2 linked regions of the Rhinolophus ferrumequinum genome follow. Each later gene encodes a partner of the first gene's protein in a complex. Links are inferred from orthologs where the notes say so. Each region holds a gene or a part of one and is shown on either strand. Other genes may lie near its edges.

Region 1 (8,725 bases):
AGGGAAGAACACTCAGGTCAAAACCACAGCCTCAGCAGATGCCAAAGTGTTGATTTAGTTCTAAACCTGTGCATTTAGTTCTAAGCCATTTAGTTCTAAACCACACTACTCTGTGCTTTTCTTTTTTTAAATTTTTTATTGGGGAACAGCATATTTCTCCAGGACCCATCAGCTCCAAGTCGTCCTTCAATCTAGTTGTGGAGGGCACAGCTCAGCTCCAAGTCCAGTGGCCGTTTTCAGTCTTAGTTGCAGGGTGCGCAGCCCACCATCCCATGTGGGAACCCACAACCTTGTTGAGAGCTTGCGTTCTAACCAACTGAGCCATCCGGCCGCCCCAACCTACATCATTTTTAATGGCTGTCTTGTGTTCTACAATATAGATGTACCATAACATATTTAATCATTTTCTTCTGAGCTTTATGTTCTTCACCTCTAGAATGAGTATTACTGAACCTATGTCACAGAGTTATAGAGTTGTTGTAAAGATTTTATAAAATATGTGAAATGCATAAAATAGTACTTCACACAAAGTAAACACTCAATAAATGTTAGCCATCATTATTATTTACCACTATTCCTGATGGATACTTAAATTATTTCTACTTTTTTTGCTATTTATAACCAATGGTTAAAAGAATAATCTGGAGTACGTTTCTTTGAACACCTATAAAATTATATCTACAAATTTTTATAAGTGAAATTTCCTATAAGTAAAAAGGTATTGCCAAACTCTCCATGGTTGAGCCAATGACATTTTCATCAACTTTATTGAGTTACCCATTTCGTCTATTATCAATCATTGAATATTTTCCAATCTAAATTTAAAAATCAGTATTTTTTAAAAATTACTCTTGAGACTGAATGTCTTTTTCTGTGTTTACATTGGCTGATTGTCAATTGTTTGCTCCTGTGTTTTGCTCATTTTTCTGTTTTTGTTTTCCTCTTGCTTAGTTGATTTTACAACTTTGGTTATGCTCTCCAATGTTTTTTTTTTTTTAATTGGTTTGTTTGTTCTCTTATTGTTGAGGGGAATCCAATGGTTTTTGATGAGAACACTTGTTAAGGTATGAATTCTGGCATGAATTGTGGAGTCCACAGACCTAACCTTAAAATCCAGCTCAGATTTTTTTCTAGCTGTGTGACCTCTGGTAAGTTACTTAACATCTTTGGATCTCAATCACATCATCTGTGAAAAAATATGGATCATGGTCTCTAAATTTCAGGGTTCCTGTGAGATTGTATTCCATGAGGAAAGGGACTCAGCACCTTGTGCTTAGTTTTGTCAAATAAAAACAAATCTGGGCTTAGATGGGGGAGACTTTAATTAGAAATGCTGCAATAGGGAGAGTACTCCAATCTCAGACATCCACAAATGGCTCTAAATCAAACAGAAAAAGGTGTTGTTTTTTGTACAGAGGGGAAAGCAACCTCAATGAGGTCTGATAGGACAGTGTCCTGCTGTGGTCAGCTGATTCCCAGGAGAAAATGATCAGGGGGCATGTTCCACTTTTTTATTTAGTATATGCTCAGTTTTGGAGGCAAGCAAGAGTTGAGGGGCCTACAGGAGAGAGAGAAGCCTAACTAAAGTTTGGTCAAGACAAAGCAGGCAGTCCGAAATGAGCAACTGGTCAGTTTTTACCAACGACAAGCACACAGTGTCTTCTATTAACATCAGACTGTGGGCTCAAGAGAGCAGATCATTCTGAAGGCTGATGAATGAATACCTGCCGAACAGCACTGAAACAGAGAGCCCACAGAGCCAATCACGTTTAGGAGACAGAACATATAAAACTACTTCATCCCCACCTGTGGCTCTTCAAAAAAAATTTCCATCCCAGCCGTGGAGGAAAATAAAAGGGGGAAAGGGAAAAAAGAAAAGTACAATTTCTATACCCATCAAGTTATCTTGAAGTCTTGAACCACTGAAGTTCCTCCTACCTGACTCCCCCATCCTAGCAAACGGGGCTCCCCTCGACAGCTGCACAAGTTTACAGCATGTGCCAATCACACCAATCTTCCTGTTGAACACCTCAGGGGATAAGGCAGGGTAAGTGTCACACCCACTGTGGGAATCTGAGTCGAGTTCAAGCGACCAGTAAAGTCACTTGAAACTCACAACCTGCACACTTCCCCATATTTGGGGGCCACGCGATGGGCTGCTGGGAATTCAGTGGTCAACTGAACAACCCTCTGTGTCCAGATTTAGAAAAAGAAAGTGTTTTTGGACAAGAAAACATGGTGGCCACCAAGCTCTGCTGGTCCAGTGAAGAAACATGGATTGAGCCCTCAGGTGGGAGGCAATGGTTGGCTAAGAAGATTTAGGAGGAAACCAACGTGTCCCTTCTTCTCTTTTAGGAAATCCCCAAGTTTCGGGAAAGGGAGGGTAGGTTTGTGGGAAAACAGAAACTGAAAAGCATCAAAACACCCTTGAACATTCATGGCAAGTGTTCAAGGAGCTGCTGTAGCTCAGGCGAGCCTGAATGACAGCAGCCCTCCCCCCCAAAGCGGGGGAAACGTTCTGCTACCTAAAAGAGGGCCCCGAGTCTGGCCTGTCCAGCGCTGGGGTGGCAAGTTCCTGGAGAAAGCCACCAGACTGCCCCCCGCAGGTTCGCACTCCCCAAAGTCTGCTTTCTTCCTCAGGGCCCCCAAGCCCGGAGGCCCCCCGCCTCAGGTCCGCCTCCTCTGGTGTCTCTCGCGTCAGCGCTCCCTTTCCCACCTCAGGCCCCCGTCTCAGGAGGGCTCTTTGCCTCAGGTCACCCCGCCTTGTGCACCCCTCTTCCGCCCCCCCCCCGTCCCCCTCACACCTCAGGTCCACCCCTTCTGGTGCCTCCCGCGGCAGCTCTCGCTTCTCTGTTTTGGGTCCTCTTTGAGGGCCTCTGCTCCCTGCCCCGGCGCGCCCTCCCTCAGGCCTGCTGTCCGCGCCTCGGGTCGCCGCCCCCCAGCCCCTCAGCCCTCCAGCCCTGCTACCTCGGATGCGGTCCAGCAGTCCCGGATCTCTGAAGCCATCGCGCTTTAGAAAGTCGCACACCTGCTCCGAGTCCCAGGTCCTGTGGTCGGGGTGGAGTTTGGGGGCCGGGGACACCTCTGCCGCAACAGCGGAAGGGGTGTTCGGCTGGGTTCTTGGGCTGCCATCAGTTCGGGGCCGTTTGGGGGTCCGCTCAGAGTCGGCTCTCTCCATGGCTACACTCAGCGCCCGGCACAGCACACTCAAGAACCGCGGTGCTTGGCTCGCGCGCAGGCGCACTGACAGCCCGACACGGGCGGCCAGTCCGCTCCGCGTTGCCAGCCTACTGGCCTCCCGCGCAGGCGCACAGACAGCGCAGACCTGGGGGCCACACAGCTTAGCCACTAAAGGCACCTGGCCCCTGCGCAGGCGCAATGACAGTCTAATGGTCCTAAATCTGGCCCCGGCGTTTACGCGAAACTGATCAGCGAGCAGCAGAACAAAGGGTGGTGCTAATAAGGGCGAGAGCGAGGAAAGAGTGTTCTCAGAACCCATGGACGTCCAACCACCACCGGGAGCAGGGGCTCTTATGGTGAAGTAAGGGTACCTGCCTCCAAACGAGTACCCCAGGTTTACTTGTGTTTCATATGCCCCAAACTTAAACCTAAAAGGCCATCAGGCTGACAGCATCTTCCCAATTAAGAGAAAAATGGTCGAGAAGCTGAAATGGAAAAACTTGGAATGATTTCAAATCTGATGTGAAGGTGACTTCTTGCATTTTACAAGTTCTACGGTATTGCTGGGCAGTGAGAGGGCCCCAGGGATGCCTATCTGTGTATTCTTAGCCTATCTTCAGTTTTCCATACAGGAGCTGACTTCAAGCTTCTCTCCAAAAGAGTCCTCAACCCCCTCTCCATCCCAACCCCCTGCCCAGAGGAAAGGAATACTACCTGCTGGTAACAGCCTGTGAAAATGGCAGGCATCTCCTCCTCACTTTAACCGCTCTGGGGCAGTATCCAAACTTTCCTATAAATCCTGGTCCATGCAATTAACTGGCAGAAGTACTACCACTACTAAAGCCAATACACCTTCCTATCAACCCAGCCATAGACCCATCTAGGGCATAAAGGATGAATGAGGCAGATAGTTATCAAGCCGTATGAACAAGTAGGCCAGTGGTAAGCAAAATATTCTTAGCAAACACTTAGAGCTTTACTGTGTGCCAGGCAATGATCTAAGGGATTTACAAATATTTATTCATTTAAGTATCACAACATTAGGATGTAAGAACTGAGGTACAGAAAAACAAGTAACTTGCCTAAGTCACACATCGAGGAAGTCATGAAACCTGGATTCAAACCCAGGCAATCTAGCCTGGTTCCAAAATCCATGTTCTTGCCAACAATTGCTTGTTAATGGCAGTTTCAACATAAAAGTATTTTATATTAATTAACCCAAATTTTTAAATTGCTTCTTTGTCCCATAGACCCATGGGGGAAAGTATAGAGAGATGTACTTGCCCTCTATCTGCACAGAAGGGTCAGGCCTACAAAAACACACCCTTAAACCCCAGAATAATTTGAGGAAAGAAGATAATTGTCAAGATTTGTGAAACCAAAACAAGAGACCACAAATAGCATATGCGCGAAAGACTTATATTTGAACTTGCAAATGGCTGGTTTGAAAACTTGTGTTCTTAAGACCCGTGGGAAAGCCTGCCCTGACAGCAAGGTTTCCTGGGCAGTAGGTAATAGAAGTAGGGTTTTATGTTTAATCAGCTGGGTTTACTCAAAAGCAATTGGTTTTGAGAACTTTACTTTTCTATTTGTTTTTGTTTGTTAAAGATCATAATTTAATGCCATATTTATTATTTTCCCTCTAATCCCCTACTTTCTAGGGGCCATAGATTTGTACAAGGTGGTTGATTACTTGCTCAAGGTCACATGGCTGGTAAGTGACAGAATCAAGATTCAAAGCTGTCTCTAAAACTTGAACACTTTCCAGTTTTCCACTTCATTTAATTCCACGTACAGTCCTGGTGATCCTAATCCATCCAGTCACTCCCCAACCTGGGAACAAATACCTACTAGACACAGACCCTGTTCTCTGGTCCTACTGATAGAAATGAATGCTTAAGCTCTCCTCTGACCTCACCATGTTAGGACTAGAAGACTATGAATTCAATTCATTTAAGGCCCGTTGCTTGATAACCTTGAACACTCCCAGCGATTCTTCTCTGCCCTTCCCCAGCTACCTTCCACCACCCAGATGAGGTAGACAATTTTATTTCTGGCAGCATTAATTTTGTGGTTTCACATCTTTCCGCAGCTTCCTCTTCAATCAGTGCTGTTGGTTCTCAATGCCAGCTATCACCATTACCTAGTCCTTCATTTACTTCTTCTTCATCCTTTACTGAACCTAACCTCCTCAAGACATTCTTTTTTTCCATCTTCCCAAATTCCAAAGCCAAGCCGAAATTCTTAAAAAAAAAAATTTGATTTTTTTTTTTTTTTAAGAATTGATTTTCTTGTCTCCTACAAATAATGCTCAAGAAAGAAATGTGTATATCTGCACATGCAGGTCCAAAGATCACCTCTTGGTATGTGCCTCATAGGTCTTTTTCTTTTTTTCTTTTTCCTCATAAGTCTTTTTCTGTTCATAGGTATAGAAATTTATCTCCAGGTCTGGCAAGTCTTTGAAAAAAGGAGACCTTGCAAAATGACAATAGCTACCATATTTGAGTACCTACTATGAGTCAGATATTCTACTTGTGCTTTACTTTATAGCCATAATTTCTAATCCTCTTAACAACCTCCTTAGATGGGTATTATACTAGTTGGGTTTATTTGGACATTAATACATTCATTCATTCAATAAATATTAATATTTACTGGGTACTTACTAATTTGCCTGGCACATCAATGAGCAAAAGAAACAAAAATCCCTTCCCTAGTGAAACTTATATCCTAGTGAGGGGAGACTGGCAGTGAATAATGCTATAATTAACAATAATAAACATGTTAGAAGTTGGTGCTATGGAAAACATTTTTTTTTAAAGAGGAGTGGAGGGGGATAGGGTCACAATTTCAGATAGGGTGGTCATAATAGGCCTTTTATGAAAGTAACATTTAAGCAGAGACTTGACGGAAATGAAGGAGTCAGCAGTATCTGGAGGAAAACCACTCCAAAGAGAACAGCAAAGGCTTCGAAAGTGCAAGGGCTCTGAAGCAAGAGCACGCCCAGAGTTGAGAAACAGCAAGGAGGCCTGGGTGGATTGGCAAAATGAGTAAAGGAAAAAGCGCAAAGAGACGAGGTCAAAGAGAGTACAAACCATGTAGGAATATGAGGGCTACAAGCTGCAAGCAGCTCCGCGGCTCCACATCTCGAGCTGAAGGAAAGACTCTGCTCCTCCAGTTCCAACAGAAAATTGTAAGGGGATGACTTCAACAAGCTTGGATTGTATTCAATCCATCAGATCACATGTGAATCTTTGGGTGAGAGGGCAAGGTCTTGTATCAGGAAGAAGAAAATTAGTTTTTAAACCAGTGTGAGTTGGATTGTCTCTGGTGTATGTATTTTGAATTTTCTCTCATTTCTAGCTGAAAATATGGCTGGTACACTTCACAACTTCAACATCTGACAGGGTTCTCTTCAGGTATCCAGTGTTACCTGACTGATTTTTTTCTTGTAGTTACGCTTGTATCCAGTCCAATCTAGTCTGATTGCTCATCACTCATGCCCCACTGTCCCTAGTGAATACCAACGTCAGCCAAGTTCACAAAGATTCTTTTCTCTGAGAAATCCCTTGCCATTCACTGAGCGGACCCCAGTGTTACGGACTGACTGAATTGTGTCCCCACCTCACCAAATTATATGTTGGAGCCCTAGCCCCCAATGTGACGGTATTTGGAGACAGGGTCTTTAAAGAGATAATCAAGGTTAAATGAGGTCAGATGAGTGGGGCTGTAATCCATAAGTAGGACTGGTATCCTTATGAGAAGATACACCAGAGATCTCCTTTTCCCTGTGCACACATAGAGGAAAGGGCAAGTGAGGACACAGCAAGAAGGTGGCCATCTGGAAGTCGGGAAGAGAGGTCTTACCATAAACCAACTGTGCTGGCACCTTGATCTTGGATGTCCAGCACCAGACTGTGAGAAAATGAATTTCTGTTGTTTAAGCCACCCAGCCTGTGGTATTGAAGCAGGGGGTCTGGTTGGGACTCCATAATAGAGGTCTCCCTGTGTCCCCGGCCTCACCTTTCCTTAACCTATAGTTGAACAATAAATCTTCCCCTGTGGCTTGAGCACAGAATGCCCCGGAATGCTCCACCCCTGTCCTGGTCCCTTGCCTTAGAAGATTACCCTCATGATTAATGCCTGTATGGTTGCTGATTACAAACTCGATAGCCCAGAATTCTTCCCAGGCTACTCCCCTCACCGTCACTGGCTTGCTGAGGCCACCAAAGAGTTACGAGGACAAGGCGAAGCACCATGAAGAAGAACAATCCCCCAGGACCATCATGCAGTCTCTGTTAGAAGGCCCTGATTTTCCTTTAAATACCCTAAGCTGGTCTGAGACTGTGAAGGTAAAGCAGGGCCCCGCTGGGCCCCCTGTACTCAGCATGCCTCCGGGATGCCCTGCCCCCCATCCGGGCTGGTTTCACTCTATTTGGCCCATAGTGAAAGAGTAAATCACACCCCTATGGCTTGAGCTCAGAATGTCCCCGGGGTGCCCTGCCCTGTTTTGGCTCCTGGCCCCAGAGAATCAGCTTGTAGATGCTTGCTAATTACAAACTCTATCGCTTAGCATTTTTCCAGGGTACTCCCCCACCATTTCTAGACCGCTGACACCACAAGATATACGATGACAAAGGGAGGCATCATGAAAGGAAAACAGACTTCTGAGATGTCATACAGCCTCTGGGAGAGTGACCAGATTTTCCCTTAAATACCCCCAGCTGGTCTGTGAATGTAAGGCAGTTTTTGGAGGTGTTTACCTGCTGCCTTCTCAAACCAGTGGTTATCTGATAAACACTCTATGTCCCAACTCCTGTGTGGGTCTATTGGCTAAACGGGGCAGGTAGCGTGAGCCCCAGACACCTTTGGTTTCCAGTTACAAAGGCAGTTTTGAAGGTGTTAACCTGCTTCCTTCTCAAACCACTTGTTATCTGATAATAAACACTTACTCTATGACCCAATTCCTGTGTGGGTCTGTGGGGACAGAGCCAGGAGAGCAGTATCCAGACTCTCCGACCTCATGTGGAAAGGTGCTGGCTCGGGTGGTAGATGGCCATCCGCTGTGACTAGTTGGCCATCAGTTGTTACCAGTTAGCCATTAGCCACTGATGTAACTGTAACTGCCGTGGCTGAGCTAGCAAGCGCAGATTGCAGTTAGCAGGTGGGTTGGTTGGCAGAGAAGCGGAGGTCGGATTGCGGATCGTGTGGTTCCTGCTTCTTGTTGTAAGGCTTGCGGCGAGATAATGAGGCTAGTCAGGCAGGTTGAGAAAAGTGAGTGCTTTATTCTGCGCTCGTGGGCGAGGTTCACCGGTCCCGAAGACGGGGGCGGCGAAGTTGCGCCCAGAGTAGAGGGAGGGAGGCATATATGCGGTCTTTGGGGTGGGGGTTGGCTGAGTGAGGTGGCAGATGAGCAGGCCCCCCTAGCGCAGTTGGGGCTCGAGCGGCTGTGTCCGCAGATGGGGCGCGAGCGGCTGTGTCCGGAGTTGCTTATCGCACCAGCGGTCTGCTGCCGGTCTGCTGCCTTTTCTGGGAAACGCCAGGG
Region 2 (7,891 bases), on another chromosome or scaffold:
CTCACCACATTCTAAATGTTCTTTAAGTGGCAGGAGAATTTATCACCTGTCCAATAGTGACACAACAGTTACCAACTAGTGACTATTAGTACGGGACATTTAACTAATTCACTTAAGCTTTTCTGAATTTTCACAACCATCCTTCCCTTTTCTACAGATGAGGAAATGGGCTCAGAGGCCATGGTGGAAAAGGGCTTCAAGCATCCATCTGCCAACTCTACGGACATACCTGTGAGATTCTGATCAAGTTATTTAACTTTTCCAAATCTCAGTTTCCTTATCTGTAAAATGGAAATGGTTGTTGTGAGGGTTAAATGATAACACTGTCCATACAATGGAATAATATAAAGCCCTACAAAACATCCGTAGAATGTTCTTATCCTTAAAGGACGGCTGCCAAAGCATTTAGGGGTAATGTGTCTGCAACTTATTTTCACATGGCTCCAGAAAACATATACCACACCTATAGAGAGAAAATATGGCAAAATATTAACAACTGTTGACTCTGGATGGATAAACAAGTGTTTGTTTTCCTATTCTTTCAACGTTTTAATATGTTTGAAAATTTTCATAATAAAAAGTTGGAAAAAATTAAGAAGCATGTCCTTTCCTACTTTGACCAACTCTAGATCAATATATTGTTAAGTGAGAAATGTGTGTCCATTTGTGTGTCCCTCAAATAAGATATCCCTGAAAGAATACACAAGAAATGGAGACTATCTATTACTTTTGTGGCAGGTACTATATTTTGTATAATGCACACTTTTTTGCCCAAATTTGTGAGGGAAAAATAAGGATGCACATTATACATGGGTAGTACTAATTCCGTATCTATATAAATGCTTTTAATTCTTTTATTTATGCTTATGAGTTAAAAGTTAACTCTAGAAATCAATAATGATACCCGTATGCAAAATAATACCCTGGAATATGATGATTGGTTTTACTGAACTTACAATGAACTTGCAACAACGAACTTGCAACAATGAAGAGTTCTTGGCCTTCTATGATGTGTAAACATCATAAATTTGTTACCAGTACATAAAATTTCTCGTACCTTGTACCTGTTCTTGTGTTTTGCAATTATTTGTTACATAAAATTTCTTCTACCGTAACATGTTAAAAAAATAAATGCTAAAATTCCTTTATAATACAAAAAAATACCTAAATGTAAATAAATAAAAATTTAAACAAGAGAGTTTTTTTCCCCTAAAAGTTTGGGCCAAAAATGTGGGTGCACATTATACACGGGAGCACATTATACAAGGCAAAATATGGTAACTGATTTTCTAAGGGATAAAGGTAGGAGATTTTTCATCATCCATTATCATCCTAGCTCTACCATTTTTCAACTATTTTGTAACCTTTTGTAACTTTTTAATTAAACCATAAAATCTGTCCTCTTCTAACACAGAGTACTGAACAGCCTATTCCGCAGAAATTGCCCCGAAGCCTAAAATGAAGTCCAGGTTGAGGAAAGTTCCCTTAAGGTTACAATCCTGAAACAAGTGTTTGAAAGCATTCTTCTTCATTTAAAAACAAAACAAACACACAAAACTGGAAAAAAATCCAGGTTTGGAGCATCAAGTAAAATTTACCCAGTAAGGGCCAGCCAGGTGGCTCAGGTGGTTGGAGCGCCATGCTCCTGACGCGAAGGTTGCTGGTTCGACTCCCACATGGGGCAGTGAGCTGCGCCCTCTACAGCTAAGATTGTGAACAACAGCTCTCCCTGAAGCTGGACTGCCATGAGCAGCCGGAGGTCGGCGGTAGCTGCTGTGTTATGCCAGGAATGGCTGGTGGCCAGTATGAGTGGTGGCCATCCTGAGCGGCCACCAGCATGGGCCAGGGAGCTGCGTCCTACACACTAGACTAAGAAACAACAGCTTGAACCGGAGTGGGGTGGGGGAGGCAGAAGAAGGGGGGGAAATTTACCCAATAATTAGTATAAAATGAGATCATATATAACAATTTTCTATTACTGCCTATGACCACTTCCTTTACAAAAAAGAGACATAATTGGTTAAAAACCAACTTCAATCACTTCAAGCTAACATGTGGTTCATTCCACCAGATTCCTCCTCAATTAAAAGTAACAACCGTACAAGTAAAACAGCAAAAAACTACACTCAGCAACTACTCAAGAGATTTTGAGCACACGATTTCCTTTCCATTCCCCAAATTCTGTATTACCTCCTTAACATCAAAAACTATATCGCCTGCTGAAAATGGATAATGAATAACTGCTATATACAAAACCCAAACCTTGAAAGCATCAAGCAGAAAAACACAAATCAATTCCTAAAGACTCTAAATATAAACTTACATAAATCTTAAAGGTAAACTCCAGTAAACTGGAAAATTACAGGATGACACGCCAATGAACCTCTCACTCTACATTAACAAAGCGTTTAGAACAGGAAGATGCTACTAATATAAATTATTAAAGCATCTTATTAAAACATGCAGACTAATTAAAAGGCTCCATTGAAAACACACGGTGGAAAAACTGAGGCCAAAGTGATGTGGAAAGGGATGAGCTATTTGGGACTCAAAAAGTACTACTCCAGATGCTCCAAAAAAACTACCACTTCAACAAATGCGAAACTCGAGCGCTTTTGTTTTTCTGCCCTAAGAGAAAGCCGTCTAGCAAGAGAAGAGGGATTGAGAAAACGCCTCTGACATCCCAGTTTGAAACGACTATAACCGCAGAGACAGGCTCCCGGGAAGCTTGGCGGGCACTCCGAGGTTTGGCTCCACGCTGCAGGAACCACACACCTCTGTCCACCCCGCCCCTCCACCACGGGGGTGGGAGGAGTGCCCGGAAAGCTCCGCCCTTCGCCTGGTCCGAGAGCCAGGCGGGTGCAGGCGGAGGTAGCACGAGGCCGAGGGAGGCGAAAGCCCGCCCAGGTGACTGGAGCTGGAGGCGGAGACAGTCTGGGAAGGGGGCCGCCGTAGGGCAGAAAGACGGAGCCCCCCAGCCCGTACAGAACGGAGACTGGGAAGAAAAAATGCACCAAGGGGACGAAGAGGAGCCCCTCCTACAGGTAGGGGCGGGCACACCCCTGCCCCCCATTCCGGGCGGAAGAGTTACTCTCGGGAAGCTTCTTTTGCGGACTGGAGGAAGAACGTGGAGGCCCCGCCCCCGAGCCAAGAATCTGGAGGAGGAAAAGCCCTGTCAGGCCTCCGGCCCAGCCTCCCTGGCGGCCCGGCCCGCCCCCTCCCCGCCGGCGGCCCAGGCAGGTGCCGCCCCTCCCCCAGCCCGGCGCCCACTCTCCCGCCTGCGGGGCCACGCGCTCTGTCTCCTCGCGCCCCTCCCAGAGAGCCATCTTCCTCCCGGCCCCACTCACCTTCCCGGGCGGCTCCGCCGCTCCCCCCTGACCCCGCCAGCGGCCACAGTTCACACACACCGCCTCAGGTCCTGCACTCACTCTCCCTCACTCACACACAGCGCGACCACGGGTCCAGAGCGGCCCACATATTATGCGTCACTCGCATGTTACGTGCCCCGCGCGCGCGTCCCCCGATTTGGCGCGAGGCTCGCTAGCCGGAGGCGGGAGGAGAACGCCAGCGCGAGCGGAGGACGAGCCCCAGAGCCGCCTGGGAAATGAAGTTCCGCTTCTAGGGGCGGGGACCACCAGTCCTAATTGGAGCAGGAGCACATCGTCCCCGCGCGTTGACTTCTGGTATTTGTAGGTTTTTAGGATTAACGCGAACTGACGTTTACTCATTGGCTGTTTCCGAAGGCGGAAGCGAAAAGTGAGGAACCAGACTCCTTCCAAGCCAAGGCTATGAGTGCTGGATCCCTTCTCAGTACCTTATTATGCCCCGTATGACAGCGGAAAGCCTTCGTTTCATTCTCCCATTGCTCCATTGTTACTAGAACATACCAGGATCTAAGACATTTCCCACAAGCATCTCAGAAAGCACAGCACTCATTAAACAGAAGTCTAGTTTTTCTTTCTCTTTCCGTTCAAGACCTGGTCTGTAGGATCAATAAATATTTATCCTAGGTATTACATGTGAGGCAGAGAAAAGGAAAAAAATCAAAAGGCCATAAGTTAAGGCAGGGCTGACCTCAGAGGTCATCTAATTTAAATCCTTTATTTTGGGAGGCTCAGAGAGAGTAAGTGACTTGCCTAACATCACACAACCAATTAGCAGTAGAACTAGAATGACTCCTAACTGACTCAGGGATCCCTTTGTGGGGACATGAAAGATAAACGTGGACAGCTGAGCAGAATCTCTTCCTAACAAGACCCTCCCCAGACTATCTCTCTGGGAAACCTAAGCAAGTTTCTGTGCATTTCTATGGAGTCCTCAGAGCCAACACTTTCACATGGGGAACACGGGACACAGCAAACTTGCTGCCATGGTCAGGTCCTACAGCTAGTCAGAAGCTAGTGAAAGCCTGAATGCTAGGTCTCCATTCCTGATTGGACCCCATTCCTCTCTTCCCAGAAAAACGATACCTCCCTCCTTCACTTAAGTGTGTAACTTGGAGCAGCTGTTCAGGCACAAAATCCTAGAATGTGGGGTGGCAGTGCCGCAGACATGTCACTTCTCTGCAACCCTTTCACCTGCCATGACAGAGCTCTCTTCTCTGCTTCTGGACTTTTGCCTGTATCAATAATGGCCACTATCATTTCCTTTGACGTTACAGCAGGCTCAGTTCTGAGCCAAGTGTTTTACCTACACTTTTTCATATAACGCTCACTATCACCCCACAGGGTAGATTACAGTCAGCGACCTATACAGAAGAGAAATCTGAGCATAGAGAGGTGGTCCAAGGGGTGGGTCCCATTTGTAGGTCCAGAGGCCGGACGCCTAACTTTGCTGTGCCTGTCCTCTATCACTCCTTCAGCTGACTTTCCTGTCATGCCTCCTTAGGCCATGATCCCAAAATGCATAAGGATGGAGTGTTCAAGCCCACTGCCTAGGGTCCTGAAAGGCAGAGTCCTTGTGGGAACCCCTGGTCCAGTTCACGTGTTCCTGGCACAGCCTCAGTCTGACACCAGATGGCACTGCTTCCCTTCAAAAACCCAGTCTGGGGCCCTGCGTCTGTAATGGGAGTGAGGGAGTTTGGAGAAACCAGGGCCCCGGAGGCTGGGGAAGGAAGGGCCTGTCTGGGAGCTGCTCCCTCCAGAATCTCTGCTCAGTAACATCTGCAGCCCCTCCAGCCTGCCAACACAAACACACACACACAGCCACACATACACACACACACACACACACACACACACACACACAGCCACACACCTGCAGGCAGTCCCAGACCCCCACTCCGGGAAGGGGAAAGGACAGCCCCCAGGTTTTCTGGGCTGCACACACATTCCAAGCATGCTCGCTGACACGTTTCACAGGGTGGGCATTTTCACATTGAAGTCCACACAAGCACAAAGCTACGGCAACTCCAGACCCACCTGCCGGGCTCGGTCTGGCACATTGCTTCTGAATCATTGGCAAGAGATTCCTTGGCCTCTTTGAAAGAACATCTCTGGACCCTGGACCCTCGCCTCTCCCCACCCCGGTCTGCCTGTGCACCTCCCCATGTGTGCCTCAGAAAGAAGCAGACACCATCCAAAAGGGCAAGGAGTGGTGTCTGCAGGGCTGCCCCGTGACAGAGAAAGGGCAAGAGCAGTCCAGCCCTGGTCCCAGCACCAAGGGCTACAGACTCAGGTGTGCTCCACCTGCCTGCAAGTAAGGGCGTGCACGGGGGTGGGAGTACCCATGCCATGGGTAGGAAAGTCAATAGCCCCAAACCCTCTGGGCCTCGGGGTGCTCCTCCCCTCTGCCCTCCTCCCTGTCACCTTTCCACCACCCCTTCCCTCCCACCACCTACTTCCAGGCTCCCCAGCCCATCCCCATCCTGGTGCCACCACGACCCCTGTACCTCCTCCTGCAACTCCCTGGGGCCAGGAGGCAAGGCCAGCTGTTCCACATCCACTCTCACTGTGCTGGTGGCTGAACAAGATTGCTGCTACAAGTGTCCAGGAGTCACAGGAGCCACCAACGGGCTGCCAGGCCATGGAGACCCTGGCCTAGACAAAGAGGGAATTCTAATCATTCACTCAGGGCCCTCTCCATGCCCAGGAGCCCCTATGCCTCCTAGACAAAAATGGAACACTATTCCTATTGCTCAATATGTATGCAAAGCAACCACTCCTGTATGACTGCATGCTCGTCCACCACTCTTGTTTTACAGAGGGAGAAATTGAAGGTTCCACCAAGACAACAGTTTCAGCTGCACCTTGTCCAGGGGCCACGGCAGCTGCAGTCTCCGGAAGGCAGTCACCACCTCCTGCTTCAATGGGCACAACTTCATAGAGGGGCCTGAGGCTCAAATGGGGAATGGATCAGCTCCCATGTACCAGGGCCCCTGCCAGAGGCAGGAGCCCCCAGGAGAGCCTCTTGCAACATTTAGGGCATACTTACCCTTACAAAAAAGTATTGTTTATCTGAAATTAAAATTGAACTGGTCATTTTGTACTTTATCTAGAAACCCCACCTCAGAACCACTGCTCAGTCACAGACCCCAAGGACTCCCCTCCTGCGGCCTCTAGGGCCTCATTTAAATCATCTGCAAAATAGTTGGAAGCAAATCGGAGCAGCTGCCTCCCAATGGGTCTCATTAAAGATTAGACAGACCAAGCTGTCAAGGCTCCCTTATACAAAAGCTGATGATCTAGGTGATAGCAGGCTCAAATTCTTCCCTTCTACCCTTCTCTTTTTTTAACCCTATCACTGACAGTCAGAGTTGACAAAATAGTTTTTCCTCCTCATTGAGAAGAGTTTGCAGAAGGAGACAGGTCAGCAGACGAGTCCAGCTTTGAAGGCAAACAGACCTTCCTTCTAATACCAGTGCTTCCATTTAGCAGCTGTGGGACCTTGGTTTAATAACTACACCCCTTGAACATCAGTTTCCCTGGCTGAAAAATGGGAATGACATACCTCCTTTCTAGCATTGTTCCAGGGTTAAATGTGATGATGCATGTAAAGTGCTTAGCTTGGAGCCTGGCACACAGGAAGTGCGAGCTAAGTGATGTTTTGATTATGCTTCGGCCAGGGCTGAAGAACTCCCCACTGCAGTTCTCCAGGACTACCTCAGCCCTGGCTAGTTTCCCTTTGCCCCCAGTGCTGCCGGCTGGAGGAGCTCAGACTTTCCTGATTTCAATGAGAAATGAGTCCCTTACCAGAAAAATCCTAGGGGACATTTTCAGAAGCACTGGGAAGTATTGGAGTTACCACTCCTGGGGATCACCTGTCCTCTCTCTGTCCTAGCCCAGAACTGAAAGCTGAGTGGGTGAGAGAGTGGATTTAAGAGGATCTGCTCTTAGACCTCCTCATGCCCGCAAGGGCTACCACCAATCCAGGGTGAGGGCAGTCAAAGCCAAGGAGCCCCTGGGATATGAAATCAGACATGTCACCCTCCACAACCCAGCCATTGACCCTGCTTCCTGCTGGCAGGAAGCATCTGGAACTCCGGCCCAGAGCACACTCACTTCCTTCCCTGGGGTTCTCTGGCAGGGTGGTGATGTCAATCAAAGTAGAGGCAGACGGGATGGCCCGTGGACCCTCACTGTGGACCTGCCCAACACAAAGAAGGGCTGTAGCATGAAGAGGACCAAACTCTGCCCTCTAGGTACCCCCAGGACCTGTCAGATCCCCCAGCCTGGCTGTCAGTTATCATTCCTGCTGACTCCTGGGGCCCTGCTCTTCCCAGAGGCTATGCTCCGTGTAAGTTAGAGGTTGAGGAACAGGTGCAGGGAAGCTAAGGAGAAACAAGCCCAGAACTCTTTGGCCCCAGGTTTCTGGAATCATAAATCCTTCCAGGAGTCAGCATTGGAGAGAGGAGCCCTTGGATTTTTGGCAGTGCCCGTTGGTAGCCGCAAGA

What was found. Proteins that work in one complex are often made in the same cells at the same time.
Region 2: the proteins of SAMHD1 (region 1) and DCAF1 are in contact, whole or in part, in a crystal structure (PDB 4CC9), measured with the Homo sapiens proteins. The link is inferred for Rhinolophus ferrumequinum from reciprocal best matches to the Homo sapiens genes SAMHD1 and DCAF1. Residues at the interface, in NP_056289.2 of Homo sapiens: Ser616, Arg617, Val618, Gln619, Lys622; in NP_001336097.1 of Homo sapiens: Asn1090, Glu1091, Asp1092, Thr1114, Gln1116, Asn1132.

What each region holds. Positions count from the first base shown.
Region 1 is NC_046306.1:18,855,620-18,864,344, reverse strand, and holds the start of SAMHD1 (deoxynucleoside triphosphate triphosphohydrolase SAMHD1), read right to left. Parts: upstream 3,310-8,725; 5' UTR 3,179-3,309; coding exon 2,968-3,178; intron 1-2,967.
Region 2 is NC_046300.1:5,574,023-5,581,913, reverse strand, and holds the start of DCAF1 (DDB1- and CUL4-associated factor 1), read right to left. Parts: upstream 3,577-7,891; 5' UTR 3,348-3,576; intron 1-3,347. UniProt on the Homo sapiens protein: Acts both as a substrate recognition component of E3 ubiquitin-protein ligase complexes and as an atypical serine/threonine-protein kinase, playing key roles in various processes such as cell cycle, telomerase regulation and histone modification.